7 separate regions of the Mus musculus genome follow, and regions 2, 3, 4, 5, 6 and 7 are each reported to be linked to region 1. Evidence: microRNA targets listed by miRTarBase, many of them from high-throughput screens and not tested one by one. Region 1 holds a microRNA gene; each other region holds the end of a gene's coding sequence.

Region 1 (4,531 bases):
TAGGATGAAGTGAACAATGTTGTTCCCTTCGTCAGAGTATGAGTTCATTGTGAAGGGCCGGTAGCATCTCATCTGGTGAAGGCCGAAACCGAACGATGCTCTCCAAGTGTCTTCCGTGTGTGTGACCGTGTGCCTCATCTCACTTTCCTTAATCCCAAGCAGCTCCAGTTTTGTGAACCATGCCGCTCCATGTAGCTGGTCGAATAGCTCTGGTACCATCTGCGTGTAGTCTTGTCTGTCAGTCAGCATGTCATACAGTATCCAGTATTCCTCTTGCTCCCTGGCTTTCTCTTGCTGCCTGGCTTTCTCTTGCATCCTGGCGCTCACAGGTTCCAAAGTCTCTCGGGCCCCAGACTCGTAAAAGACGCCGCTTTGATCACTGTCTCCAGCCTGCTGAAGCTCAGAGGGCTCTGATTCAGAAAGATCATCGGATCCGTCTGAGCTTGGCTGGTCGGAAGTCTCATCATCTGCCTCCCTCGGGTTAAACACGTCGGCCAGGTCTGAGTATGTGTGTGGCAATCCGGGCAGTAGGCTTATGCTGTATGTCTCTAGTGCGATGCATGGTGGAGGTGGGGTGAAGCAATTCCGCAGACAGTAGGGAGAGTGGAAGGTACACCGGCCTCTCATCCAGTCGACTTCAGGGGCATGGGTTCGGAGCCACTTCATGCCTAAGACGATGGAGAAGTTGGGCGAAGGTAAGATGTCAAATTCGATGTACTCATAATGCTTCTGGTGGACACATACCAGGGGCTCGGTGCACAGCCAGACGGGTTCATTGCCAATTGGGATGCCATCCACACCTTGGATTATCTGTGGATAAGGCTTCTCATAGAGTTCCACATAGTGTTCCTGGGCAAACCTCTCATCCATGTAGTTCCCTTCTGCTCCTGAGTCCACCAGGGCCCGCACTGCGACACTGTGGTAGGGGTCCACTCTCACCAAGAGCAGTAAGAAGAGGTGATCGCGATCAATGTCTGGGTGGAACTCATTGGGCAGCCAGCTGCTTACCCTCCACTTCTCTGGGGCGGGAGCATCCATCCAGGCTACGCTTCTTGGGCGCGACTCAGGTGGCAGCCTGAGTAATGCTCTTCTCTCTGCCAGCTTTTCTTCAAGTTGCAGGACAAGTACAATCAGGTTGTCTAGGGAATTCGGCTGAGGGATCCGGAACAGATAGTGCCTGATCTCTTCGTTGAGCCCCTGGCACAGGTGGGCCTGCAGGACTTCATCTGGCCAGCCTAAGGTGGGTATCAGACCCCGGAACTCATTGATGTAATCGGCCGCACAGCGGTTCCCCTGCCTGATGTTGAACATGGCGTCTTCCGCCACACGCAGGGTCTGCCGATACTCAAACTTTTCTGACATGGCCTCCAGGAAGGCTGAGAAGTTGTTTATCACTGGGCTGTTCTGCTCTACGAGGTCGTTGGCCCATTCCAAGGCTAGGTCAGTCAGGTGGCGGATGACGAATTTCACCCGCAGCTCATCATTGTATAGCATACTTGGGTAGTTCTGCATTGTCATCTGGCAGAGCACGACAAACTCATGGTAGTCTCTGCGATCTCCAGAGAAGGGCCTGAGGGAGGGCAGGCGACCTTCGTTGATAGCCTGCATCATGAGCCTTTCTGCCACTCTCTGTTGTTCTTTTAGGTCTTGCATCCGGAGGAACAGCGAGATGACGTTCCCCATGGTGGCCACGACTTCTTCTGGAGAGTTCTTGGGCTGACCTTCCTCTTCACCACCTTCCTCTTCCTCCTCTTCCTCGTCATCTCCCAGGTCAGTATCATCTTGGTCTGACTGGGTCTCGGATGAGTTGATTGTTTCATCCATGCTATAATCGGATGCCTCACTGAGTGGTTCCGACCCTTCCTGGTTTGAAATATCACTTGACTGGTTTGAACTGTCGCTTGACTCCTGGTTCGAATTATCGCTTAACTCCTGGTTTGAATTATCACTTAACTCCGGGTTTGAATCATAGCTTGACTCCTTTTGTGAACCATCGCTGGACTCCTGGTTTGAACCACCGCTTGACTCCAGGTTGGAAACATCGCTCGACTCTGGGTTTGAACCAAAGCTCGACTCATGGTTTGAACCATTACTTAATTCGTGGTTTGAACCATCACTCGACTCCTGGTTCGAACCATCATCACTTGATTCCTCCATGTCTTGGGGTAGATCGTTAGATGATGCCTCACAGGGGTCGCTGGATGGCTCCTCCACTTCCCGGAGTAGATCAGTGGGTAGCTCTTGCATTTCCTGGTAGGGGCCACTGGATGGCTCCTCCACTTCCCGGAGTAGATCAGTGGGTAGCTCTTGCATTTCCTGGTAGGGGCCACTGGATGGCTCCTCCACTTCCCGGAGTAGATCAGTGGGTAGCTCTTGCATTTCCTGGTAGGGGCCACTGGATGGCTCCTCCACTTCCCGGAGTAGATCAGTGGGTAGCTCTTGCATTTCCTGGTAGGGGCCACTGGATGGCTCCTCCACTTCCCGGAGTAGATCAGTGGGTAGCTCTTGCATTTCCTGGTGGGGGCCACTGGATGGCTCCTCCACTTCTTGGAGTAGATCAGTGGGCAGCTCTTGCATTTCCTGGTGGGGGCCACTGGATGGCTCCTCCACTTCTTGGAGTAGATTAGTGGGCAGCTCTTGCATTTCCTTGAGGGGGCCACTGGGTGGCTCCTTTTCTTCCTGGGCTGGGCCACTATCTGAGCCCGCCTGGGCCTCAACCTGGGCCTCAACCTGGGCTTCAGCCTGAGCCTCCGCCTGGGCCTCCACCTGGGTCTCCGCCTGGGCCTCCGCCTGGGCCCCTGCCTGGGCCCCCGCCTGGGCTCCACTGCTGCCTGGTGTCTCTTCAACGGTGTTGGATGAGCCCTCGGAGGACTCCATTTGTTTTGATGATGGATTCTTAAGCTCCATCATCGTCTCAAATGAGTCTTCAGAGGGTTCTATCATGTCGTCGGTTGGAAAGGAGTGTGCTCTGAAGACTGGTAAGATTGTGATGTGTGTGGTCAGAGACCGCAACTGTGGAGACCAAAACCTAGGGACAGAGGGATAAAAGACAGGAGAAAATGTAGCAATTTAGGTTCTCAAGATGGCAGGGTCAGATTCTATCTCAAGGACAAAGCAGATGCCAAGTTACTAGAATCAGAGAGAAAATGGAGAAATTCCTCCTGCATTCAGTTCAGCCTCCTTTTCTGGTTACTTGGGGCACCTCCAGGGGAAAGACCGTCACCCCCTGACCTGCCTTCCAGGCGGAGTCTGACTACCCCACCTGCCTACTTCCTCTAGTGGAATGAGAAATTCACAGCCCATAAATTTTGTGGAGCAACTGGCCTGGAGCGTCCTCTGTGGCGAGCTAGCACCTGGCAGGGCACACTTCTGGCCCGCTTTGCCCTGGCCAGGTTCCCTTCCCATTTGTAGTCACCCAAAAGTCATAAAGGTCACATCTCAATGCCACTCAAAGCGGCTGCTGGCAGGCTTGGTGGTCTAGAGCCAGCCCAGTGAGCTTGGTTGGAGGCGGGAATCTGCAGGGAGATGCCTGCTATTTCACAAACTGGGGAAAGAGGAGAAATTGGGCACTTGGCCACTATCCTGCCAGTTGGGTCAACAGCCAAAAATAGCTCTTATTTCCTCCTCTAGGCTCCAAGCCGAAATAAGTGAGAGAGAGCCATGGCTTTTGGTTTTAATTTTGCTCCCCATAAATGTTTATAAAATGCCTACTATGTGCTGAAAACATGCACTTTCATGGCTTCATCCTAGGTCACACTTTGTGCATATGCAGGATAAGAGGGGGGTGGGGGAGGGATAGTATCATTTCTCTTGTTCGGTTTGATCTCTGTCCAAAGCCACGTTTTCTCCAGCTCTGAGCTGAGTCGGAGCTTTCTAAACACCCTTTCCCGGGCTTTCAAAAAAACTGTTCTCCCAGGATTGCCTGGTCTGCAGGGCTCCTGCAGCTTTAAACATCTGGCCTCAATTCTGCTCATGCAAACATTTCTGCACGTCTCACAAATGCTATCTTTCCAAGTTTCTCCTCTGCTTCGGCAGGAGCAGGGTTTTCGTTCTCAAAAGTGCCCCCCCCCCCTTTTCTGTCACTGTTGATTTCGTCTGGTACAGGGGTATATCTAACAGAGGTATGAAGTTGGGTGAAAGGGGGGGCATGGGACCTTTGAAATCTGATTGTTCCGTAATTTTTGAAAATCTAGCCATGGAGGGTTTAGTGCACGGAAATTGAATTTAAAGGGATGTATTGGTTTGCAAAACAAATTAAGCTAGTTATTCAATAGCTCAGCCATATAGCTATTGTCTTTATGAATTCTGCACCTTCTGTTACTTCTCAATTTTCTTTTTTAAGGTCACTGGGCTGACCTATCCAAAAACAGAAACACACACACATACACACACAAAACCAAATAAACAGAAATCTCCCATGTTGTCATTCATGTAAAACTCCCGTTGGCCATCCTCCAAACCTTGCAGCAGGATGCTTTTGGGTCTGCAGTTTCTCAGAATTAGACATCTCCTTGTTAGCATGACACTTAAA
Region 2 (4,531 bases), not on the chromosome of region 1:
TGTCAGAAGACAGTTACAGTGTAGTCTTAAATAGATAAAAATCTTAAAAAAAAAATGTTCCCAAGACTGGAGATGATATGCATGTCAGCTGAACTTGGACAACAGATAAATACTCTGGAGAATTGCAGTAAGACAAGAATAAAAGAGACTTCTGTAAGGGTTATTTAACCTGAAGGCTGAGATGAGGGCAGGCACTGCAGTTAAGTACAGGTGCATGCAAGAAAATGAAGTCAGGTGACTAAGTCATTGCCAATCAAACTATAAACACACACACAGTATTTAAAAAAAAAACTGAATCTTAAGGAGTTTTAGCCTGGAAATATAAGAATTAGAACAGAGATGGTATTTTAAGTCAAGTGGATGAAGGATGAAACCACCTAAAATATAGAGAATTCTATATAACTGTCTTTGAAGAATTCATGTTTAGAAATGGGATGGAAAAAAGAAAAAGCTAACAAGCAGAAACCAGTATATAGAAGAAAGGTATGGTGTTCCACAAGCAAAGAAAGGGTTTCCAAAGTGAGTGAACACTGGACACATGCTATGGAGATTACAATTCCATCTGTTAAGCCAGAGTTTTGTAGTGCCCACGATCAGACCTGTGTGGAGCTAGAGTAGAAATGAGGATTGGATAGGTGTGGCTATGGAAACAGCCCAGACAACTGAACTTTGATGAGGAAAAAAGGGCAGTAGCTGGGGGATGAGATCCAGGGAGGGATGGTTTTCTCAAATGTAAATACTAAAGTATTTATGATACACAATAAACTAATGATAGTATACAGTCAACACTGATGGCACAGGCTTGTAGTGGAGGGCAGCCTGGTCCTGAGTGTGGGGAGAACGATCAGAGGTGAGGATTCCGTAATACAGAACATGTATAGAGGAATGGGCCTGAGAGAGGGCTCTAGAACCTGGTTGGGGAACACATACTAAAGACCATTTTATATTTTAAAATGTTTAAATCAGCTACATGTGATAATCAGTGCTCAGAGGTAGACACAAGCCAGCCAAGACTACTCAAAATAAAACTATGATGAAACTCAATATTCAGTAGTTAACTTTTAAATCCTCATTTTGTTGAAACATACCTCCATTTTTAAAGTCTCATTTACACTATTTTGTTCTTCATTTAGGGGCCACTCCATTTTGTGTTGCTCCCAATGCATTATTTCCATTTGAGCTGTATAATGAAGAATATTTAGAGCAAAGAGATCTCTACCTGACTCAGTGCCAACAGCAGCTCCAACAGTTTATTGCCACATGTGGACCTGGGACAACTGTCTTTTCTAGTGATGAATAAGCAATTTAAGAATTACCTTTCGGGCCTAGCAAACACAGAAGTGGATGTTCACAGTCAGCTATAGGATGGAACACAGGGCCCCCAATGGAGGAGCTAGAGAAAGTACCCAAGGAGCTGAAGGGGTCTGCAACCCTATAGGTGGAACAACAATATGAACTAACCAGTACCCCCAGGAGCTCGTGTCTCTGGCTGCATATGTAGCAGAAGATGGCCTAGTTGGCCATCAGTGGAAAGAGAGGCCCATTGGTCTTGTAAACTTTATATGCCTCAGTACAGGGGAACGCCAGGGCCAAGAAGTGGGAGGGGGGAAGGGGGAGAGGGCATGGGGGACTTTTGGGATAGCTTTGGAAATGTAAATGAAGAAAGTACCTAATAAAAAAAAAGGAAAAATTACCTTTCATGCCCCATAAGCCTTGGTAAATGTATGATTTCAGAGTAATGGTTCAGACTATGTATCATCTCAAGGTTATTTGTTAGAATGTCATTTAGAGTATGAAATGTGGCCCCTTCATAATTACAAATTTGCAACTAACCCAACATCTAAACCAAGAACAGAAATTATGTTACCAAGGAGCTTGACATCAAAAACTCCAGTATATATATCATGGACACACACACAGTAGAGAACATTGTAGTGTGAAAAAGGTTTTGTTCATTCCACCCATCAGGTAGCAACACTTTACCTACCAACATACCCAGCTTGAGCTCATTAATTACCAGTGATGAGTTCAAGTCAGTGCAACTTAATGACCCAAAGTGCCTATGTAAGGCTTTTCTTTATTTAACATGTGCATTATGGGCATATAGCTTTATAAAGCTAAATGTGGAGAGTTAAGGAAAGCTGTGAAAATCTTATATATGCCTTCTGCTGGATACAACCAAAGTGACACTAAAGACAACATTCCTGGGGTCAAGTCGTCTTCCTGCCAGGAGGTGGTAGGTACTACAGGGTCCCACAGCACCTTGTATTTTGGTACTTGATCTGAACAGCAAGTTAATGATATAGTACATACAAACAAGACTTGCCTTGTGCCTTTTCATATGATGTGGTTAAGTCTAGGTCTCTAGGGTAAAAACAAAACAATTCTTATCTAAACAGCCAACACACCTGGAAAGCCTAATGTTCGAAATTTCTATCCTGGGAATCAAATCCAGAGCTTTGTGCCTTGTTAAGCCAGTTAAACTTCCCCAGCCCTTACAAAGGCCCAAGTCATCAGAATGTTGAATTTTTAAGCTACTTACTAAACTTAGGGATTCTATTGGTTAAAGATTTAGCCAAGTCTTCACTCGAGGAAATCCAGTTTGAGAGTTTCAAGTGATCCTAGACAGATTGCCAATCACTTTCTTTCCTGCTGTGCATTACTGGCTACTTACTAGCCAGCCATCAGGATTGCATTGACAAAAAGTCCGCAGCTCATGAAAGACGAGTTTATTTTACTACGAGAATGACATTTTAAAGAAATTACTGCCCACAGCAATTAAGAATAACTGTTTATTTATATATAACTTATTAATATTAAATTAGATATTAATTTTCACCATTTGCTTCTGTTTATGGCTTCTTGACTTTGTTCATGGCCTTCATTTTACCTTCCAATATGTAAGCTGCACCTTCCCAAAAGGAAAAAAAAAAAGTCAGAAACCCCAAATCATTTTTCTTCCATCTCAAACTAGGCCCAGGTGTTCACCCTAATGATCTTCAAAACGAACTGGCCCCAGCCCCTCAGTGTTATCAAACAGTATTGAATCCAGATACATGACTGATTAAGCAAACTTACCCAAAACAATAAAGGGTTTTTAGACATCACAGCTCCCAAAGTTGGACATCCACTACAGCCACCTACATGCTGGGGAGAACAAACAGTAACCCATTTTAACAATGGCGTCACATGTTAGTCATTTGCATCATCTATATACTGCTGGCATCTCAGTCTTTTAAGATTCTCTCTTCAAAGAAACACTCAGCTGGGTAAACGGCAAAAACTTAAGTCATCATTGTGCCAGCTATTAAGGCCCTGTTAATCAAACCTCAAAGAAAAAAAAAAACCACACACACAATTTGTACCTTGTTATTGGCAAATGTAGTCCTGGCAGCTTGTTTCAATCACTCTCCATGACAAGTGTTTAGAAAATATTTGTTCAAGCACCTTCAAATGAGCAGGTTTTGTTGCACCTAAAAATTAAAATATTTGTGAACTCTCATTTTACTTCCATGTTTTAATACCTTGCATGAGTGTGCACTGGCTACTTTTATGTCACCTTGACACAAGCTAATCACTGGTGTAGGAAGCTACAATTGTAAAAATGCATCCTTAAGATAGGGCTGTGGACAAGCACGCCTGTAAGGCATTTTCATAATCAGTGACTGGGGTAAGGGGGCAGCCACCTCCCCTGGGCTGGAGGCCCTGTGTTCTCTAAGAACCAAAGCGTAAGCTAATAGCATCCTCCATGGCTTCGGCATCCGCTAACTCCAGGTTCCTGTGGTGCTTCAGTTCCTGTCCCATCATCCGTCCATCACAGACAGAAAAACATTTTACTCACGCCCTTCACTGCCAGTACTAACTTAAAGGACTGAGTACCAAGCCTTGGCTTCTCAGTCTTGGTGCTTGCACGGAAAAGCTTGAGGCATATATGCAATTGTGCAGACCATCACTGGGACATTAGAACAGGAAACGGCATGGCCAGAGTCACAAATCAGAGAATGAATGATTGAACCGATTACTGGTGATGACTTATCACCTGCAAACCGATGAGAAATCCTTAATCATTTTCATATTTGAAACGCTGAGTTTACAGAAATCCAGAGTACCCAATTTGGCTTACAGATACCAACAGTAAAGTATAACATGCAGGCCTGAAATGTAGTGTTCTTTTGTATCCACACGCTTCAGAACTTACCACCACCTTCTTTTGCCAGCATCCCCACCCTGCGTGGCTTTCAAATAGTTTGAAAATTTTGCTCCAACTTTAGATCGTACTTACAGGGTTGATCCATGAATACAAGCTTTTTAGAGTGATGCCAATACTTCAGATCAAACTATTAATCTTTAAAAAAAAAAAAAGCCAAAAAAAAAAAAAAGCCTAAAATTGGCGGTCTTAACATCTTAGAAGCAGTACTTTTCCGCCTCTGTAAAATTTCCTATGGATTACTCACTTAGGAAGCCTGAAACAGACCGCATGGTGGCTTTTCTTGGGGATACAAAGGGGCTCCCGCCAGGGTGCAGGCCCAGA
Region 3 (4,531 bases), not on the chromosome of region 1:
CACTTCACTTTAAGAAACAAATCCTCAGACACAGCTGTCACTCCTGTCCTTCAGAAACAGAAGCCTAGGAAGCAGGCAGCCTGGATGGATGCCGCTCCATCCTGAAGCGGGGAAGAGGTGTCACTCTGGACCCACAGACCACAAAGCCAAGTCCAGTCCTCTCTGTGATTGCCACTTGAGTGGCGGCTGCATCATGAGAATGGTCCCCTAAGTGTCCAGGGTGAGGGGATGGCAGGACCTGAGCACCAAGGACATTGTCTGGGCCATAATACTTTTGCTCCAACTGGCCAGCGCCCACCTGCCATGCAAAAGGAGACACAGCTGTCCTGCGCAGTGTAGATGTGACCAGGTGTGGGAGAGACCTTGCAAATGTCCCACACCAAGGCTTCAGTCACCATCTTTTTCTAACCCTATCCCACCTGGAAAGTAAGTTCCTCTGCCTGCCTTTGAAAGACTAAGGTGGAGCCAGGGAAATGCGGCAGACACACCAGCACCCTTGGAACCCAGCTCTGTCCCTAGCATTCAAATGGGAATCTTGTGTAGCAAGTCCTTTCACTCCTGTTCCTGGACACGGTGATCTCTCTGAATGGAGAGCCAGCAGACAGGAAGGCATTGTCCTAGACACCAGCAAAGCTATGAGTCAATGGGATTTGGAAGGGAAGCAAACAAAAAGCTGTAAAAGCTTCAAAATGACCACTGTAGGGTAACCAGGAACCTGTGACTTGTACTAATTTATGACTTTTGGACACGAAGCTGGAGATGCTACAGGGCTTCATCAACAACTCTGGGTGGACCCTAAAGCCCCTTCAGCTCATTTATCTACGTTCTGAGAGGATGTTTTAATAAAATATGTAACCTAAGGGCCTTTGTGTTTTGTGTCTAATCTGTTTATTGTGGCAACTTATAAGGAGGATGGGCAAGATTGTTTCACTGTTTAAGACCTCTGAATGATCAGGTGTTAAAGGACTGGTCCGAAGGGTGGAAATGACTAGAAGGTGGAGTCTTTGGGTCTCTAGCATATGCTCTGGAAGGGGACTGTGGGAGCCTGGTTCATTCTGTCTCCTGGCTGATGGTATGTGTGACTGTGCTCTGTCAAGCATACCTGCCAGGATAGGTTACCATGACAGAAGCTAAAAGCATAGAGACCGATGACGATGGACTGCACCTTCAGAACCATGAGCCTACACAAACCTTTTTCTAGGTTGCCCCAGGTATCTTAAAGTTTTTACCCCTCTTAGGTGTGACAGTATAAGCCTTTAAATCCCACCCAGTGAGTCTGAGGCCAGCCATGTTTACATAGTGAGATCTTGTCCAGTCCTTTAATTGTATGTATGTATGTATGTATGTATGTATGTGCTTCATATGTGCTAGTGCAAGGAGTAGGGATACAGGTAAGGCTCCCAAACCCATCTGTAAAACAGAAACAGGCCACTGAGAACTATCATGAGGCAGAGAGCCCCAAGGGAATTCTGAAAATCAGGACCTTAAGGCAGTAGAACAATTCTGACATTCTGAAGGAAACACAATTTTGAAGAATCCCTTAAGTGTATGAGAGATAAACATTTCCAGATACTGAAGGCTTTAAAAATTCAACTTCCAAACTCACCTCAGAAGTTATTAAATGTGTGACAAAACCACAGTTAAGTTAGGAGAGGAGACACGGGGTCCAGAAATAGGACCAGGGCTTGGGATGCCACCCGGGGGAGTGCTTGCCTAGGATGTGAGAAACCCTGGGTTCAGTCTCCAGCACTGTATAAACCAGGCAGAGGCAGGCAGATCTCTGAGTTCGAGGCCAGCCTTGTCTACAGAGTGAGTTCCAGGACACCCAGGGCTACACAGAGAAACCCTGTCTTGAAAAACAAAACATAACAAAACCAAAACCCCAAAACCATAAAAACAAAAAAACAGGCATAGTGGCACCTACCTGAAATCCCAGACCTTAGAAGGTTGAGACAGGAAGCTTAAGGTCATCTACAGCTACGTGAGAGTTAGGCTAGCGGGGCTACAGGCCTCAGAGGGAAAAGATCCAGAACCCCCAGTTTAATGCCAAAAGGGGATTTAAAAGCTGTCTACAGAGAGACCAATCAATGGCTCAGGTTCAAGTTCACTCCAGTAGGCATCAAGATAAAAATAAGAGACAGCACCAGATGACTGTCTTGAAATTTCTGACCACTGAGAAAAATGTGTAGTTTATTTAGTAATAAAGACACAGGAAATGAAGATGATTAACTCTAGAACAAAGAGTGGTGAGGGAGCCACTGTGTAGGTACTAGTGACTCAGGCAGCATGTGATGCATACGAAGTGTTCAGTCTCGAGACGCTGTGGTGACTCCGAGGCCACCAAGATCCAGTGTCTGGGAACAGTCTGTTCAAGAGCCAAGAGGAGCTAACACTTGCACGGGCAGAAGAAATCTGGAATGTTTAAGGATAAAAAGGGGGGCATCATTTTGGCTAAGCAGGGACTCATGTTCAACTATGGGCACCAGCTGGGTCAGCAGGGCGATACTGCAGGCCCTTTCTCCATAGTAAGACCTAGGACAGAGGCTCTCTAGATTCCTCATGGCCCTCTCTCCCCTTCCCCAGTCCATCTCCTAGGAAAGTGAATCTGGACACTCCATAGTGTCAGCAACGAGGTCTTGACCTCCTGGTCAAGAGCAAGATGTTCGGGTTGTTTTAAAAACTTCCTTCACAAGGACTGCTCTGCAGAGGTAATTTATTGATCACAGTCACTATCTGAGTCATAGTACCTAGATGCTTTCTGAAACACAGATGTCCCTGGGGAGTCCTACCTACTCAGGTCTGGGTTTGAGGCTAGAAACTTTGGTACTCACGCTAGGAGATGATTCTACCAGCACTCCAGGACACAAACTTACACGGCCTTGGAAACTTCTGTGGGTCATGACTACATCCATTCTTGCATCTTTGCATATTTAACTCTTGTGGGGTAAGGAAAAGTGATTTAAGACACCAGGAAAGGTAGGCAACAGAGTGGTTTTGGGCACGGGGTACCTCAACTTCGAGGACAGCAAAAACAGCTTCAGATGTGATGGAAAGTCTACCTGTGGGCACTGGCTAACAACTGAACCAGAAAATGCTGCTGCCAAGGCCCTGCTCAACAAAGAACACAGGGACAAGACAAATGGGTGTGTTCAGGAAAGAGGGAGTCATTTGGTCTTCAGAGCAGGAAACCTCAGAGGAAATGAGAAGCTGAGTAAGATATATGGATAGGGTGACAGTGTTGAGAGACTTTGGCCGTGGCAGTGGGGAGATGGGTGGCAATGGATGTGATGTCCCTCTCTCTCCTCCTCCTAGTGCTCTGGCCAGGAACCTTCCTCCATTATAGTTTTGGGATCCCAGAGAAGGGAAGTTTCCATGGGTGTGGGATCCAGGTAATCTTTCTTCATCTCAGAGTCCTGGACTCTCAGAGAAGTAAAGTTTCTGTAGGGTGACCCAGGCGGGTTCTGGAGTTCAGGGTCTCAGCAGAAGGCGTGCTCCTGGCCACTTGAGCCACAGGAAGGGAACCAGGCGCCGGGTGAAGGTGGTCGTGAAGGTATAGATGAGTTCCTGGGACTCTGCATTGGTGAATGTCACAGTGCCACCTTCATAATCCAGGGCGATGCCCACTCTCCGGGGCCGCAGCACCGGGAACAGCTGGGCCTCTGGGCTCGTGTTGGCCCAGATACCTGAGGGGGAGAGCCGAAGGGCCCACACACCATCTTCTGGTCGCAGGGAGAGGTCCCCTTTCCTCTTCACAGAGTCTTTGGCCACTCCCACCATGCAGCTTTCCTGAACTTCTTCTTCTTCTTCCTCTTCCTCCTCTTCCTCTTCCCCCAGTGATTCGTCTTCTTCATCTGTTTCCCAGTCTTCGTATCCGTCCCCATAGCCAACCTCCTCGTCTTCTTCCTCTTCTTCCCCTTCTTCTTCCTCCTCCCCCTCTTCTTCATCCTCTGACCAGCCTTCTCTCTCCAACTCTACTTCCCAGTATACCTTTCCCCATGTGAAGCCCTTGCTGCCCAACACTCCTGGCTCACAGTCAAACTGCTGGGGGAGCAGACAGTCACTCTGGTATTGGCCAGTATAGGTCACACACTTCCAGTCCTCTGAAAGATGTAGGTATCCACTGGCCGACTGTGGGTCCAGGGTGACGCTTACTATTGGACAAGGGAGGAAGTAACAGTGTCAGTGGTGGGCTGGGAAGGAGTGACTAGTCTCCATAGTATCTGCCTCACTGCGCAGTTCTATATATTCCCGAGCACTCTTTATATCATGGTCTCTGTGAACTGTGTCCCTGAGGTACTTGGTACACACAGCATAGATGATCTCTGGCCTCGGGCTGCCACTGCTGTTTGCTCTCATAAGGTCTCATAAGAAGCACCTTATGGTGTGTGACCTGTGACCTCAAAGGCTCAGCAGTACTGCAGACTACACGGGAGACTGATCTGAAATAATGTAAGGGGGTGGGGCCGCCTATGGGCAGTTCCAGTGAGGATTCCACAGGGTAAAATGGGAACAACCTTCTGTTCACGTACCT
Region 4 (4,531 bases), not on the chromosome of region 1:
ACCCCCTACAGCAATACTGTCTCCTGAGTCAGGCAGGCTTCAAATGAGCTCAGTCTGGCTTAGCCAAGGAGAGAAGGGAGGTGTCCCCAAATAGAAAAGAAGGTGCCTTCAACAGTGGGGTTGCTCCGAGAACCGTTGTGGCTGTTAGAAGGATTAGATTTTTACAGATGGATCTCAATCCATCTCCCAGTTACTCCTGTGACCTGACTGACTGTTCATCAGGACAGGTCAAGTGTCTTTAGTGAAGCCCTTGGGAAAGGGGCATCACCTGAGGCTTAGAGCCTCACCGCAATCGATGGGCATGGATAACAAGAACTCTCCATTACAGCTGAGTATGCTGGCACACACGGGTAACCTCAGCTCTTGGGAGGCAATGGCTTCAAAGCCATCCGCAGCTACTTAGTGAGTTCAAGGATAGCCAGGGCTACGCTACGTGAGACTCAAGAAGCAAAAACAAAGTGGGGGGAGAGATGGCTGGGTAAAGACTCTTGCCACCATGCCTGGTAACCCAGGTTAAATTACTGGGATCTGCAAGGTGGAAGGAGAGAAATGACTCCCAAAAGTTGTCCTTTGACCACACTGTGCCCCTGATACTCACAAGATCATATGCATACACGCTAAGCAAGCAAACAAACAAATTAAAATACATAAACGAAGCTTTTAAAAAGAAAACTCACAAATAGTATCCTAAAAGAACTGGGTCAGGTTTGTTTATCAAAACACATACACATGTAGTGAGATTAAATTATAAAATAAATGTCATGTATGACATCACAGATACTGTGAAAAGTACCTAAAATATAAATAAAAATAGTATTTTCTTCATCCTGAAGCCCAAATCACCCAGAATTAAACCCCCACCATGTCTAATTTTATGTGTGTGCTCCCAGTTACCCTTGATTTATTTTTCTCACACTCAAGTCACCAACTTACTTAGTGCTGGATTAGATTCAGATGGCGACACCCAAGCCCAAGGCCTCAGAGGAGACAGGTGTTGAGAGGTTCAGGTGGCCCTGGCCTGCCCTGTCGGATGCTCAGACGTATCTCCACGTCCACAGACTGAGTAACCGGTGCTCTGTCTCCCACAGTGGTCGATCACTACACCAGTCAGATAGTCTTCAACGGGGTCCGGGTCATCGCCATCATCATTATCGGCCTGGGCTTCCTCCTCCTGCTCCTTCCAGAAGAGTGGGATGTCTGGTTGATCAAGTTGCTCACCCGCCTCAAAGTGAGGAAGAAGGAGGAGACAGCAGAGAGCAGCGGGGACTTGGGCACGGGTCCCCAGAGCAGGAGCAGAAGAGCCCGCCCATCCTTCGCTCGCTGAGAAAACTCCTCTAGAACTCTGGGATGCACCCATGGTAATGTTTTTGAGGTCTATTCCTGATGGAGGAACCTCAGTTGGGTGAGGTGTACATACATGTACAGTTTTGGTAACTGCAGTAAGTTCTACGGTATTTATTGGCATGTCCAATTTGCTTGCACTTTTCCACGTCAGACCTTCCACTAAGGGTACCGATTCAAAACAGATGAGAAAAGAACCTCTCAGCGCTTCTTAAATGAATGTAAAGCGAGGTAAAATGAGCCTTGTGTCGGTCTCTTCAGAGGACAGGCAAGCTGGACAAGCCAGGGCAAAGGCTCTGCCTCTTAGCAATTGAAAGTGACATTGTGCACTGTGATTATTTTTCAGCTATAGTAGGTCATATTTTGTTTTATACCAGAACTGTATACTTAATTTTAAGGAATCTCAATGAACCAAAAGATAATTGTCAGTTAATTTGGATGGGTAGATGGATAGATGGATAAATGGATGGATGGGTGGGTGGATGGATGGATGGATGGATGGATGGATCGATCGATGGATAGATAAACATATAGGTGGATAGACGGTTGATGGACAGATGGGTGGATGGGAAAGGAAAGGAAGAGAGGCAAAGCAGAAAAGGATAATGACATGAAGATAAACGGAGGACAGGCCTGTGCTGGGTCACATGATAGAAAACAGAACTCCGACCTAGCTGGTCTGGTCTCACAAGACCATGAGGAGAACTCAGTGCCTTCTACAGCATCTCTGTCCTATGTGAAGCGAGGTGACATTATATGTCACTGGCGCCGTCTTATAATTTAGATGTAGAAATCTTTAAAAAAAAAAAACAAACACAAACTATATGTGTATATGTGTGTTTAAACGTGACAAAGCCAGTGGCCAGTGTATTTGGAGGGTGGTTGGCGGTGTGTGACATGCACAGCAGGTGCACTGTGTGGGAGGGACGGCTGGTGGCTTTCACTTCCAGACCAAGACTGAAACATTATTTACTGAGTCTGTAAGCCTTTTAAAGAAACTTTTAAGCGCCGGGCTGTTTACTTACACAATTTAGGTCTGCCGGAGACTTCTATCTGTGATAGATCTGTACAGAGGGACTGGGCTTAGAGTTTACTATTTTTGAAGTTTACATTGTTACATATAAATGGGAACCTGATTTTGAAATGGTATCATATCCTAAAGGTGCATTCTGGAACCATGGAGTCTTTCGTTTCCTGGGGGGAAGGGGTACTCATGACCTGAACTTTTTAGCCAATTATTCTCAGTTTCCATAACTTGTTTGGCCAAACAGATTAATAAAACATTTGAAACAAACAAAAAAAAAAGCATTGAGTGTACTTTTGGTGCCTCCCGGTGACCTCCCACTAAGGGTCCTTGTGCAGCCTGCCTAGCTGCCAGAGGGAAGATGGTTGTTGCTATGGCAACAGACATAGAAACTAAGTCTGTGGGGCTGAAGGGATGGTGCAGCAGGAGATGAGTCAGTGGTAAAACACCTGCTGTACAAGCATCTGCACTCGTGTAAACAGCTGAGCATGGCTAAATGCACACGCGTGCACATACACACACACACACACCCCTGTAACAGTAAGGGGAAGAGGCAGGAGGGTCGTGAAGCTGTGTCTAGGCAGCTGTGGCCACAAGCTGTAAGACCCAAGTGTCTTGGGCAGAGCTTTGGAAGGCAGGGTTCCTAAAGATGGGGTCACATCACCCATGTCTCTGTTCCAGAAAGTCCAAAAGGCAACACAGGTGGCAAGGTTGTGTCCTGCCACCTCCACCACTGAATACTTCATAAAACTCAGCCCGGCAAACATTTCCCTCTATAAAGTTAGCCCTATACCTGCCCTATAGCAAATGTATCTTGTCCTATCAGCTCACTGATTTAAAACAACAACAACAACAAAAACCAAACAACAACAACTAGAGAGAGAGGTGGCTCAGCTGTGAGAGCACTGGCTGTTCGTTCAAAGAACTCAAGTTTGGTTCCCAGCATCCACAGGACAGCCCACGACTGTCTGTAACTCCAGTTCCAGGGGATCTGATGCCCTTTTCTGGCTTCCACAGTTACCAAGCACTTGAGGTACACATATATGCATACAGACAAGATAGCCACAAACACATTTTTTTAAAAAAGATAACAAAAGATTGGGAGCTCTTTCCTCCTGACCCTCTCAGACCTCCCTTCTAGCCCAGGGATCTCCAGTGGCCACCCCAGGCCACCATCAGAGAAGCTTCTTTGTGCAGTAGAGGGGAACTGACATAGACCTACATCTGGCCGATGCAGAGGAGAGACGCTGGAGCACTCTGTCCTAAATCAAAGCCTTCCCCTCATGACTCAAGGATCTGTAAGGGAGACGAAAAGATTCTAAGAGCCAGGAATGATGGATGTCTCCAAAGAAACTGGACTGACAGACATGTGAACCCAGAGACCTGCAGCGTGTACAAGGCCTGCCCAAGTTAAAGTCAGACCGGGTCCTAGTGTTGAGAGGGGAACATAGACAAAGGCTCTCAACCCCACTAAGATGCTATCTGATACCCTTGAGCCTCAGGGCAGGCACCATGCTCACCAGTAACTGGCCAACACAAAGACCGTGGTAATTTTGTAAACTTTTTGTCTCATTTTGCTTTTGTTTAGAAACCTTTTTTTGTCTAGTTGATCAGTCTTCATTTTGTGTGTGTGTGTTTTCCTGGGGTGTTTTATTTTGTGTTCTTCTGGGGGTGGAGGGGTTGATTGCTTTTTTTTAAAGAGTCAGAGGACATGAAGTTGGGTGAGGAGAGGATCTGGAAGCAGTTGGGGAGGGGGAAAGCATAACCAAAATATATTGTATGAAAAAATTTTCAATTACAAAAAAAAAAAAAAAAAAGAGTTGGAAGCAAACACCCCACAAGGTGTCTGCACACCTATACTCAGAGCATCATTATTCATGATAACCAAAGGGTAGAAGGGAACGGGTGGGTGGCTCACAGGCAGAAGTTTGAATGAGTGGATTTAGGTATGTATGCATAAACAAAATCCAGTGTGCTCATACTGTGGCGGAGAACTATTCAGCCTTAGAACTCCATAAGGAAGCGCTCACGCCTGCTGCAATACCTCTGTAGCGGGAGGCATTTGAGTGGTATGAAGCAAACCCGACACAAACAGACAGGTGCCATGTGACTCTACTTTTGAGATCCTCGGGATGGCCAGATTCAACCAGAACGGAAGCAGGTGTG
Region 5 (3,000 bases), not on the chromosome of region 1:
CTCCCACCCTCAGCTGCCCACAGAAAGCTGAGAAGGAACTGAAGTCCTCACTTGCTTCAGGTGTGAAACAACATGCAGTTCACTGTTTGACTAAGTGTTCAGCTCTTTGAAATGTGAGGAGAGTTTTTACTGTGTTGTGGCTGACAACCTTTTCTTCATGATTGATATACTGTATTTTGGCATTGAACATGGTGAACATGAAGGCAATATATGTCAGGGTAGTATTGTGACAAAGCCACTGTGCTGCAGCCGTTCTAATTAATGTGATGTGTGCTTTTATTCCAGCCAGAGTAACAGCTGTGGCTTGACTGGTAACAATAGCATAGGCTAGAAGTGAAGCAAGCACTCTGCCATTGCCTTGGAAGTCTTCTGTCTCCTGGTATGAGAGGAATGATGCTGGAGAGGCTCAACAGCAGGAGGCATCCCATCACAGCTTCCAGCACCTGCTTTGTGTAGTGTAACATTGAATTCATGTAAGATTAACACTGTGGTGTAAACTCTGAGGCACATTCATGCAATAAAACTACTAGTTTTGGCAGTCTCTAGATGGTCCATCCTTTCGTCTCAGCTCCAAACTTTGTCTCTGAAACTCCTTCCATGGATGTTTTGTTCCCAATTCTAAGAAGGGGCATAGTGTTCACATTTTGTTCTTCGTTCTTCTTGAGTTTCATATGTTTTGCAAATTGTATCTTGTATCTTGGGTAGTCTAAGTTTCTGGGCTAATATCCTCTTATCAGTGAGTACATATCATGTGAGTTCTTTGGCCTGGCAAACACAGAAGTGGATGCTCACAGTTAGGTATTGGATGGAACACAGGGCCCCCAATGGAGGAGCTAGAGAAAGTACCCAAGGAGCTAAAGGGGTCTGCAACCCTATAGGTGGAACAACAATATGAACTAACCAGTACCCCCGGAGCTCATGTCTCTAGCTGCATATCTATCAGAAGATGGCCTAGTCGGCCATCATTGAGAAGAGAGGTCCCTTGGTCTTACAAACTTTATATGCCTCAGTACAGGGGGATGCCAGGGCCAAGAAGTGGGACTGGGTGGGTAGGGGAGTCGCGGGGGAGGGCCTGGGGAACTTTTGGGATAGCATTTGTAATGTAAATGAAGAAAATACCTAATTTAAAAATAAATAAATAAACTACCAGTTTTTGCCCAAGCCCTAAATTGTTTAAATGATTCTCATAACAATCTTTAATTTTCACTTTAGTAAAATGAATATATACCATGACGCCTTAAAATTAAAGCTAGATATTAAATTAGTATTCTGCTTCTTTCCCATTTTGCTTCAGTAAGTTTTTATGTGTATAAACACGGGTATAAGGCATGGTGTTCTAACAGAAAGAATGCATGGTTCTCTCATTATGGGAGTCAGGTTTCCTTTTTTTGTTGATGCCATTAACCACCCCAGTTGGGTATGGGGCTCCCTTGAATGAGGGTCCTCAAAGCTAGGTGGGTCAGGATTCGGCAGTGAAAACCAGAAACAAACACAGAGGCAGTTTGAATCTGAGTGTATTTTGCAGCTCTCAAGCAGGGGGTTTTATACATTAAAAAAATATATATATTAAAACTCTTAGAAGATATGTTCAATGAAGCAATCACAAATACCATTGTTATTTGGAACAGTAAAGCACAAAAATCAAGCAAGCATTACAACTCTGAAAAGATGTATTCAGTGAATCATAAACAGAACAAGTAACATCATTATTAATAGAAATCATCCTAATGTTACCACTCTGAAAGGACATATTCAGTGGAGCGGTCATCAAAGGCTAGTGGCATATTTCCAAGAGTAGGTTAATAAATCTTTATGAACAATTATTTTTAACATCTAATGCCTGGGTTTTTTTATAAATCTTCAATGCATAAATTTAAACTATTTTTATTCTTTTTATTTAAGGCTTTCTTATCCATATACCAAAGCCTACTTCCAATGACACACATGTAGCCATATGAAATTTTATTGTTTGGAAAGTTTTTATCTATCATAATACTATGATATAATTTTGTAAATGATTTATGAAGTAAAGCATTGGTTTTCCCAGAGATAAAGTCATGTTAGTGACCCCCATCTCAAGGGATGGTGCCTTACCCATTATTCTCACCTAAGATTGTAGCCCAGGCTACCAGGAACATGTGATAAATAAGAAAAAGAGTAAGAGATAACAAAAGAGATAAATTGCCATGACAACTACAGATCAATATTTTGTGCCAGGCAAGAGTTCCACAACCAGTTCCAGAAGGCCTCCTTCGTTTGAAGTATTCACCTCAGTCTGTAAATCTCGTCACACAGATTCTGCTGGAGTTGGTGTGGATGGTTGGACTTGTTCCAGGATGTTAGTGCCTACTTTTATCAATGATTTGAAAGCCTATATTGAATTTTTTCGGATTCCCAATTGCTAATTCCCATGAATTCACAAAGTATAACTGGCAACTGGAAAGAAGATTAGTGCAGAGGTGTCTCTTACTGCCCCTCTGCCCTGTTCCTCAGCCATGAAAATCGTTTTCTATGGACATACCACAGTTCTGTACCAAATACTGTGACCACATAGGATCCATTTACAGGATGATGTAGTCACTGGAGTGTAGTCTATGTTCCAGTGACCCTTTCACAACCCAACAGAGCCCAGTCATGCAAAATAGTACACAGCCATCTCTTGCTGCATATTGCTTCAGTACAAACCTTAAAAGTCATCATATTCCCAGAAGTGTTCAAACCTCCTGAGCTCATTCTTTTGCTTAGATGATTAACTGTGACTACCTGTAAAATTAAACAATAGTGAGTCACATCAGTATATTTGCTACAGATCCTCTCTGGGATAGAATGTTATCAAGGATTGTCCTCCTTTACACAGAATACACGTTTCTGGCAAAGAATACAGAACTGAATTCTTTGCACACCTGTTCTTGCTAGCTCCCCAAAGCTGTTTACAGGTCAGTCAACACTGCTTTCCTCGTGGTGCCAGTTGCATGCCAGAAAAGTATTGAACAAATACAT
Region 6 (4,531 bases), not on the chromosome of region 1:
ATTCTTTTATGAAAAATTATGCCAGGGGCAACTAGAGAATTCTTTTTTTCAAATATGTTTTTAAATCCCAAGGCCAGTATAGGCTGGCACACAGCTGACTGGTAAGAGACAGAGCTGCTGTCTCAAGCCACCCCCCTTCTCTTTCTTGTCATCCTGACTGCATCCCAAATGTGCCATCATTCCTGGTGGTAAGTCTGGGAATGCCCAGGCCCCTGTTGCCATCCAATTGAGGAAAAAAAATGAATTGAAAGGAAATCTTTGGTTCTATCTAAGGAAATTATAGAGGAGAGCAGGAAACCGCCAGAGAACCCAGCAGCCCCCGAGCTGCACCCTCCACAGTGGGCTTTTGTACAGAATGCAACCAGCTGGGCTCTGTGTGGTCGAGGATAGACATCCACTTGGTTGTCTAAAACTCTTCAGTTATGTGTGATCATTAGGTATTTCACTATATATTGCACATGCCTGAAACTCTATTATTTTCTCACGTGAGAGAAAAGAATATGTAGTTCATTACATTTTCAAATGTATGTAACCCAACAGGTCGATAAACCCACCTCACCCAGAATGTCTTATGAATTAAAGATTAAACACAACTAATGTATCTAGCAAACTACAGTAGTCTAGTATGGCTACAAATTTATGCTTTTCGTCTTTTTTGTTTGAACAATGAAAATCATATTGCATACAGTGCATTGAAATGGGCCAGATATTTAAAAAAGAGTCTCCTTAATTAACTAGAGTTCAGCAATTATATATAGTGAATATAGTTCATTTTGTGTTTTTCTGCATAGTAGTTAGGTCTTTTCATGGAAGCAAGAGATCATATAGATTACACCTGTATGATGTGTATAATCTAGAAGTTATCACATGTATGTACATATATATGTATATAAGCATAATATATATAATATAGCAAAGTCAATGCATGCTATTAATTATTAAATTTTATTAAAATTTTGGTTTAAAAAGTTAAAAATATAATAGTTGTAATTTAATGCATTTTGAATTTATATTTATGATATGGCTGGAGATTTTAACATTGTCTTATTTTTTCTTTCTTTCTTTTTTTCTTCCCGTCTCCTCTCAACAGTCCTGGTACCTGGGCTAGCTTGGTTCCTTTTCAAGTGTCAAATAGGACACCCATCTTACCGGCAAATGTCCAAAATTATGGTTTGAACATAATTGGAGAGCCTTTCCTTCAAGCGGAGACAAGCAACTGAGGGGAAAGAACCACAACCATAGTATAAGAAAATTAGGGGAAAAACACCCAACAAAGGAAAAGAGGAAGACTGGACAACAGGGAGAAAGGAGAGAAACTGAAGAAAGAAGACGGTAGACCAGCATTGCAGCACTTACAGTCACTAATTCCCTTAAGGTTGAGACTATAGTGACAGGAAAGGGTCAATGACATCTCACTGATGCTAGACTGCAGCCCCTGCACCGTAGCCTTTGTTACATGAAGTCCGCTGGGAAATAGATGTTCTGTCTCTATGACAATATATTTTAACTGACTTTCTAGATGCCTTAATATTTGCATGATAAGCTAGTTTTCTTGGTTAGTATTCTTGTTGTTTACGCATGGAGTCACTATTCCTGGTTATCTCAACAACGAAGGCTAGGAGGCGGCGTCAGAGGTGCTGGGGACAGAGCCATGAGCCAGCCATTTTATAAGCACTCTGATTTCTAAAAGTTAAAATTATATATATATATATATATATATATAAAAGAATCTCTGTAGCCTTTAGTTATCCGTACAGATTTATTAAATTTTGGCCCTTAACCCAGCCTTTTCCAGTGTGTAACCCAGTTTGAAATCTTAAAAAGGAAAAAAAAAAAAAAAGAGAAAAAAGAAAAATAGGGAAAAAAAAAACAGTTTGAACTCAAAGGCTCTATGGAAGAAATGCCTCTATGTGGGTAAAGGGTTACCTCTGCATGCAACAGTAAAAAGTAATATAATGTTTTCCCCACAAAAGAAACACTTAACAGAGGCAAGTGCAATTTATAAATTTATATCTAAAGGGGAATCATGATTATAAGTCCTTCAGCCCTTGGACTCTAAATTGAGGGGATTAAAAAGAATTTAAAATAATTTTGAGCGAATTTATTTTCCCCTCAGTTTTTGAGGGCATTTAAAATAAGGCATTAAATCAAGACAAATCATGTGCTTGAACAGAAAAAAAATAAAAAATAAAAAAAATATTGAAAACACAGCACTTAGGTTGGCTTAGCTGCAGCCTCCTCAGAGGTCAGATTATTTATTTAAAATTACTGGTTGCATCAAGAACCCATAGGGTGTACAAACGGTTCTATACAATCTGCATCGTAGAGACAAAGAGGCAGGGAAATCCATGTCACAAGGGTAAAGCTCCCCGTGTACAGGCTGGGAATGCCAGGTAGGCTAGGAAAACCCGCTCGCTCTTCAGAGAAGTGCCATCAGGGTGCTGGGAACATGCATGGTGCTTTCGGACATTAGCCTTGTTCAACACATTTCTCGTATTGACAGATCTATAGTGTGCATGGGCAGACACATGCTGCCTCTGTGTCTCTTAAAATTTTAATTAAAAGTACTCTTTCCAGTAATCCTAATTTGCACGAAGATATAATGTCCACATTACGTGCCTTGCCTTGAAATCTAAAAAAAAAAAACAAAAGACAAAAAAAAACCACAAAAGTGACATCACTACACTTGTTTTGCTGCATTTATTATCGTTTTAAATCTTTACCATTTTTATGACAAAATATTTTGTACTCCAGACGAAGAAAAATGTGTGACATCATGGATTTTTTAGACAGTTACACCTTTATCTCACATTTATAAAGCATATCATGGCTGTGTATAGTTGCCGCTTAAAAATTGTAATCGACCAGCAATATTTTCAGTATTTTTGGTGTTTTTTCTATTAACCTTTCATGTTTTTCATCTTCCAATTAATATTTGGGGGGGAGGGGTTTCAAATTTATACGAATTATGCAATACCAAGTTTTGCCTATGTAGGTAGTGCTTTTAGCTGTATTGGTTATTATAGGTAAGTACACAGATTTAAAAAAGAAATAATGTATGCTTTTTTTGTTTGTTTGTTTATTTGTTTGTTTGTTTTAATTGACCAAAGTGGGTACTGCTATTTTTGCAGTGTGATGAGGTCCTTTTGTGTACTGAGAGATGGACAGGGGATTTTTTTTAATATACATATATAAATATATATATATTCAGGGGTGGGTGGGAGGATTTTTAACCCTTTACAGTGTAGCAGTGAAGCACTGCACCCTGAGATGGGCCTGGGCTGCAAAGCAACTGTTCTGCCTACTGTGACAAACTTCAACTTAAACAGGTTTCCCTCCCTCCACCCCTCCCCGTACTTTCCCACCTGGAGTGCAAGCTGAACTCCTTTCTGGTTTCCAAGCTAAGAAACCAGGAAGAAAAAGCAAGCACAGCAAAAGCCTCCTAGAGGCCAACTTAGAGGAACTGCCCTGTCTTATTTTAGTTGTTATTGATAGTTTTTTGTTTCTTTTTTTTTTTTTTTCCTGAAAGTTCCTGAAACCACAGTGGAAAGTGAGCCTGTCTCATATTTGGCAAAGACATTTCTTGAAGTGCCCACATAGCAGATGTTGGCTGTTTCACACTTTTGAGTTTAACACAGGAATAAGCTTTCTTCTACCAAACACATTCCCCCATCTGGAGGGAGAGCTCCCCTAGTCCCTCCCCGCCCTCTGTCATTTTGTTAATGACAGGATAGGCTGCTCCTGTGACTTACTACTTCAAAATGAATGGTGTTGCACCTAGGATCTTCTTCTTTGACATCCAGAAGGTTGACTAGAGAGAGGGTTGCTCTTCTTGGATGTATTTGGACTGATAGAGTAAAATCAAAGTTCAGTTTTTAAGGAACAAGAATAAATCAATCCTCTTATTTTACCTGCCCTTGTAAACTGGAAAGTGGAGCAGAGGGAAATATAGAATTTTAAGCAACCAATTTTTCTGTGGATGAATTAAGTGTGTTTGATAATGATGGTGGGGGTTGATTTGAACGGGTGGTACTTCAAGTATATATTTGAGTTAATTTCCCCTGAGGACTACAGGTGAATAGAGACCAATTTTATTTTGTCTTTTCCCCATCCCCCACCTGGTCCTATTGAGTGTATCCATTGCTCCAAGGAGATCTTTAGGAATTAGTGACATACGCAGTCGGCTGTAAAGAAGCTCTCTTGACCCCACCCCCAGCCCCACCCCAGGCCCTGCCCTAGTAAATAAACTGTCAAGTGTATGCATAGCAGATCATTTAATAGTGAGTTCATGAGAACGATGCTCAGAAGCCCGGGAATTAAATCTGACTAGTCCATTCATGACCACATGCTGGTTAGCACAGTGGGATTCTAGGATGCAGGTTCTAAGAAAGGCCAGCCTTGTCTGTTACTTGCTTTGCAGATAACACATCCTCTCAGCCAAGCTCATAGTGTCTTTCTGACCTATTTGCTGAAGAGTGCAACCCTACAGGACACAGTATTCTTTCCAGGCAGTCCCCTCTCCTTGTCACCC
Region 7 (4,326 bases), not on the chromosome of region 1:
ACAGGCCCCTGTTCTGCAGAACCCTGCACCTGGGAACTGCATGCATCCAGCATCCAGCATGCATCCATGTTTTCCTCTTTTTACCCTTCAGTGCAAGATGTCTCTGAACGGACAGCGCGGGGAGTGCTGGTGTGTGAACCCCAATACCGGGAAGCCCATCCAGGGAGCTCCCACCATCCGGGGAGACCCCGAGTGCCATCTCTTCTACAACGAGCAGCAGGAGACTGGTGGGGCCCATGCCCAAAGTGTGCAGTAAACCCCAGCCAGTCGGTGCCTGGCTTCCCCATCCCGAACACCAGCAGAAATGGAGGGCGTCAGGGTGACGGGTGTGGAGGAGTTCCCAGTTTTGACACATGTATTTATATTTGGAAAGAGACCAACACTGAGCTCAGAAGCCCCCCTCTGACCCCCCCCAGCGGCTGTTAAGCTGAACCTCCCTTGCTTCTGTTAGAGAGGGGAAGGGTGGTATGGAGGGCACTGGGTACAGGCCTGGGAATGGGGAAAGAAATTTTTATTTTTGAATCCCTGTGTCTCTTTTACTTAAGATTAAAGGAAGGAAAAATAAAAAGTGTGTGTCTTACTTGAGTCTTTGGGGTGTCCCGGGAAAGAGTCTTGGGGGGGGATGGTCTGCTGAGCTCATGCCCACCTTGTCCCTAATACCTGGAATGGCGGGGAAGTCACTGTTTCCATCTTACATGGGGACAAGAAAAAGGCTTCTGAACCCAGATGCCGGCCTGCGGTGGAACCCAGGGCTCTGCTGCACTAAGGAAGGTTTCCACCCCCCTGGACTGACTGAGGAAGATGGGTAGTGAGGACAAGAGTGTGGACACTGGACACTGGACGCACAGTCCACAATCCCAGCTTTTGGGAGGCTGAAGCAGGTAAGACTGAGAGTCTAGTCTAGCCTGGGCTACACAGCATATAAACACCCATACAAAGCAACATCGGTAGAAAGCTTCAGATGATATTGCAGTGGGAGATGGGAAATGGGGAACATTGAAATTGGGACTCTCCTACCCCCTGAAATAAGGAGTTTTCAGGTATCTTAGGGGTTTCCATTGCTGTGAAGAGACACCTTGACCAAAGCAACTCATTTTTTTCTGACATATTTTCTTTTTATTAGGTATTTTCTTTATTTACACTTAATTTTATTTCCTTTCCTCATTTCCCCTCTGGAACTCCCCTATTCCATCCCCCCTCCCACTGCTCACTAAGCCACCCACTCCGGATTCCCTGTTCTGGCATTCCCCTACAGTGGGACCCTTCACAAGACCAAGGGCCTCTCCTCCCATTGATGTCCTCCTACAAGGCCATCCTCTGCTACATATGCGGCTGGAACCATGGGTCCCTCCCTGTGTACTCTTTGGTTGGTGGTTTAGTCCCTGGGAGCTCTGGGAGTACTGGTTGGTTCATATTGTTGTTCCTCCTGTGGGGCTGCAAACCCCTTCAGCTCCAACTTGGGTCCTTTCTCTAGCTCCTCCACTGGAGACCCTATGCTCAGTCCAATGGATGGCTGTGTGTACTCACCTCTGTCAGGCACTGGCAGAGCCTCTCAGGAGACAGCTATATCAGGCTCCTGTCAGCAAGCACATGTTGGCATCCACAATAGTGTCTGGGTTTACTAACTGTATACGGGATGGATTCCCAGATGGGACAGTCACTGGATGGCCTTTCCTTCAGTCTCTGCTTCAAACATGAGCACAGCAACTCTTTTGATTGGGATTTAATTAAATGGAAACATTTCATTGGGATCGACTTACAGTTCAGAGGTTTAGTCTGTTACGGTGGGAAGCATGGTGGCATGCCAATAGGCAGGCAGACTTGGTGCTAGAGAGTTCCTGTGTTCTACATCTGGATTTAGAGTCAGCAGGAAGAGAGTGAGACATCAGGTCTGGCTTGAGCATCTGAGACCTCAAAGTGAACCCCTAGTGACACCCTTCCTCCAACAAAGTCACACCCACTCCAACAAGGCCACTCCTCCTAACAGTGCCACTTCCTATGGGTCCATGAAACCATTTCATTCAAACCACCACCCCAGTCCAGGACAAGGAATTACACTTGAACCCCCAAGGAAAGGCTGGTGACCTTGCTTCTGGGCTGTTCAGAAAGGTCACCCCTGAGCTTTCAGAAGCTGCTCCTGGAGTGGCTTGCGTGACTGGCCCCATATCAACAAATCAGCCAGCTTCAAAGGGGTCTCTGTGGATAAAGAGCATGGGCTGAGACTGGATCATGCTTGTGCACATTTCAGGCAGATGTCTGAGTTCAAGGTCAGCCTGGTTTCCAGAGCAAGTTCTAGGACAGCCAGGGTGACACCTTAGCTCTGTCTCAAAAAAGAACAGAACTTGGACCAAGAGACTGGGAACTGAGTCAGGGTATGGGGGTGGGGGAGCCCTTTTTGAAGCAATGTGTAGCAGGACTCTAACACGATGTTTTGTCTGTACCGGAAGCCCCAGTGAAGCCCAGGGACTGTCCTCACCCTTTGGCTGTGGGCCATGGGGAAGGCAAACCATTTTTCTCCCCAGTGCAAGGCTGAGCTCAACTTCAGTCTGCACCTGAGCCCTCTGGCTGTGGAGGGGCCTCTCTCGCGGGCTGGCTCAGTCCCTTCAGACTCATCATCTAGCACATCCGGAGGTGGTGAGGGACACCTGGGACTTTGGGCGGGTGCCAGGACATTAGATTCTTAGAGAACACCCCCTGTCAGGAAAAGAGCTACTTCAGGGTGGATGGAACAGATACATGAATTCAACTAAGTCCCATGATACAGAAACAGTTACCAGTTTCATTTTACAGGCAGGCAAAGGTTTCCAGAAAGGCCCTATTGCTCAGTATCAAGGTTGCGGCTCATCCCTGGATCAAGCATCCCCATTTGGGAGCATTTTCCCCTGGGCCTAGCGGGGATGGTTTAATCTTCAACGAACAAGGTCATAGCCTGTGGAGGCTGCTGGGAAACACTATCAGAGGGATGTTTCAGGGTCATCCTTGTGCTACTACGGGCCTCAGAGAGCTTCTTCCTAAACATTTTGTGAAAGTCCCTTGATGTTGCCACAACCTGCTCTGCCCATTGCTAGTCCCCTGTTCATTGAAAGAGGGGGCTGGTTGGGTAGGGTTTTAATTGAATGTGTTCCCACATCACTCACTGGAGACCTAGACCTCTGAAGTTTAAGCCTGGCCACTGTTAAACGCTGAGGCCATACTGCCCCCATGTGGCAGCATGTGTAACTGCAGCCAAACTCATTTTGGCTTTTCAATTAGTTAAAGGGAGGCCCAGGAACCTATATTAAGTCAAATGGAGGTGCTCTCTCATAAGGATTCACAAGCTCTCCCATAGATTTCCAGAGTTAGGTGATGTGGAAACAGGGACTGAGAATCTTTATGTATACCTCTTGTAAGATTTCTAGGGAAGGCCAGTGACCTAAGTTGTAAGGCCTGGGACACTATGAGGCCTCTTGTTCTTACTAAGAACTTCAAGGCAGTGATAAGAAAGTTCACCAAAGACAGTACACTAGAGCTCTGAGCTCCAGGTGATGTCATGGGTACGTGTCCACAAGGCTGGCCCTCCTCTGTGCCCTCTGGATTTGCAGACACCCTGCTGTAGCTGTGGCATCTGCTAAGTGTATCTTTGGTACTTCGATGTGCTAGCAACACTGGGAAGACCTTGCTTGTCCCTGACTATAAATTGTATGACTTTGTGCATATTTCTAACTTCTACACACCCTTTAAAACCTCAGCTTTAAGTACTGGGATGATGTCTGTTTGAAAGAACAGCTTGCAGGGTAGAAATTCATTTCTGCCACACAGTAAGTGTTGGTTAAATGTAGTCATGACTACATGCTAAGTAGGGTGATGCAGTGTTTGCATGTGGAGCTGCAAGAGATGACGGCCTCTGTCCTGTAGTGTCTACATTTCCGTGTTGTAAATGATTGACCGTCTCATGGCATGATGTGACAGAGGCATATCCTCCAGCACTGTAGTGTAATGACGAGCAGCCTTGTGGAAGGCACCTTGGAGCGGCAATGGAGAGTTGAGATGAAGAAATAGAGCTTGCGTGTGCACACATCTGTGTATGTTTTCTAAGGGATTGGGTTCAGAAAGAGGAGGCAGCATGTGGAAGGCCTTCAAGCCTGAGCTGCACTCTGAGCCTGGAGGCCTGCACACGGCCGAGGATGGGTGTCATTCCTAGGGCGCAGGCAGCAGAGGGACAGCTGAAGAGGAACGTTGTAGGGAACCTATCGGGAGGGATGTGGTGTGTTGCTGAGGGACTTGAACGTAGGCCAAGGGTGGATAAGACTAGATATGTGTTTGGAAATCAATTGTGGATGAGAGAAG

The links. Region 1 holds the annotated microRNA mmu-miR-136-5p (ACUCCAUUUGUUUUGAUGAUGG, at 2,871-2,892, shown strand). A microRNA usually pairs through its seed, bases 2 to 8, with sites in the 3' UTR of a target mRNA and lowers its output. Matches are read on the target gene's strand: a 7mer-m8 pairs with bases 2 to 8, a 7mer-A1 pairs with bases 2 to 7 and ends in A, and an 8mer does both.
Region 2: the mRNA of Mcmdc2 is a reported target of mmu-miR-136-5p. Seed matches in the 3' UTR shown: 7mer-m8 at 1,384-1,390.
Region 3: miRTarBase lists Trim26 as a target of mmu-miR-136-5p. Seed matches in the 3' UTR shown: 7mer-m8 at 3,333-3,339 and 7mer-A1 at 2,518-2,524.
Region 4: the mRNA of Slc35f3 is a reported target of mmu-miR-136-5p. The part of its 3' UTR that is shown has no 7-base or 8-base seed match.
Region 5: miRTarBase lists Ctla2a as a target of mmu-miR-136-5p. Seed matches in the 3' UTR shown: 7mer-m8 at 824-830.
Region 6: miRTarBase lists Nfib as a target of mmu-miR-136-5p. The part of its 3' UTR that is shown has no 7-base or 8-base seed match.
Region 7: miRTarBase lists Igfbp2 as a target of mmu-miR-136-5p. Seed matches in the 3' UTR shown: 7mer-m8 at 304-310.

What each region holds. Positions count from the first base shown.
Region 1 is chr12:109,592,461-109,596,991 of GRCm38, forward strand. Mir136 (microRNA 136) reads left to right here and starts at 2,867; the gene lies at 2,867-2,928. It overlaps Rtl1 (retrotransposon Gaglike 1), which reads right to left. Exons shown (of 2, transcript NM_184109.2): 2 at 1-3,028. The coding sequence starts at 2,943. Mir434 (microRNA 434) reads left to right here and starts at 2,046; the gene lies at 2,046-2,139. Mir432 (microRNA 432) reads left to right here and starts at 2,496; the gene lies at 2,496-2,570. It also overlaps Mir3071, 6430411K18Rik and Mir127.
Region 2 is chr1:9,939,245-9,943,775 of GRCm38, forward strand. It overlaps Mcmdc2 (minichromosome maintenance domain containing 2), which reads left to right. Exons shown (of 15, transcript NM_177722.3): 15 at 1,134-1,710. The coding sequence ends at 1,300. It overlaps Snhg6 (small nucleolar RNA host gene 6), which reads right to left. Exons shown (of 4, transcript NR_024067.2): 2 at 3,366-3,473; 3 at 3,079-3,147; 4 at 2,781-2,911. Snord87 (small nucleolar RNA, C/D box 87) reads right to left here and starts at 3,299; the gene lies at 3,226-3,299.
Region 3 is chr17:36,857,020-36,861,550 of GRCm38, reverse strand. Trim26 (tripartite motif-containing 26) reads right to left here. Exons shown (of 10, transcript NM_001025599.3): 9 at 4,530-4,531; 10 at 2,153-4,151. The coding sequence ends at 3,469. Trim15 (tripartite motif-containing 15) reads left to right here. Exons shown (of 7, transcript NM_001024134.2): 7 at 1-860. Among named protein-coding and RNA genes, the nearest start is that of Trim15, 7.9 kb to the left of the region's middle.
Region 4 is chr8:126,393,344-126,397,874 of GRCm38, forward strand. It overlaps Slc35f3 (solute carrier family 35, member F3), which reads left to right. Exons shown (of 8, transcript NM_001363500.1): 8 at 1,089-2,614. The coding sequence ends at 1,324. Among named protein-coding and RNA genes, the nearest start is that of Gm51604, 27 kb to the right of the region's middle.
Region 5 is chr13:60,932,314-60,935,313 of GRCm38, reverse strand. It overlaps Ctla2a (cytotoxic T lymphocyte-associated protein 2 alpha), which reads left to right. Exons shown (of 5, transcript NM_007796.2): 5 at 286-1,159. The coding sequence ends at 294. Among named protein-coding and RNA genes, the nearest start is that of Ctla2a, 2.8 kb to the left of the region's middle.
Region 6 is chr4:82,293,371-82,297,901 of GRCm38, reverse strand. Nfib (nuclear factor I/B) reads left to right here. Exons shown (of 12, transcript NM_001113209.2): 12 at 1,091-4,531. The coding sequence ends at 1,220. Among named protein-coding and RNA genes, the nearest start is that of Nfib, 210 kb to the left of the region's middle.
Region 7 is chr1:72,851,907-72,856,232 of GRCm38, forward strand. It overlaps Igfbp2 (insulin-like growth factor binding protein 2), which reads left to right. Exons shown (of 4, transcript NM_008342.3): 4 at 92-568. The coding sequence ends at 256. Among named protein-coding and RNA genes, the nearest start is that of Igfbp5, 21 kb to the right of the region's middle.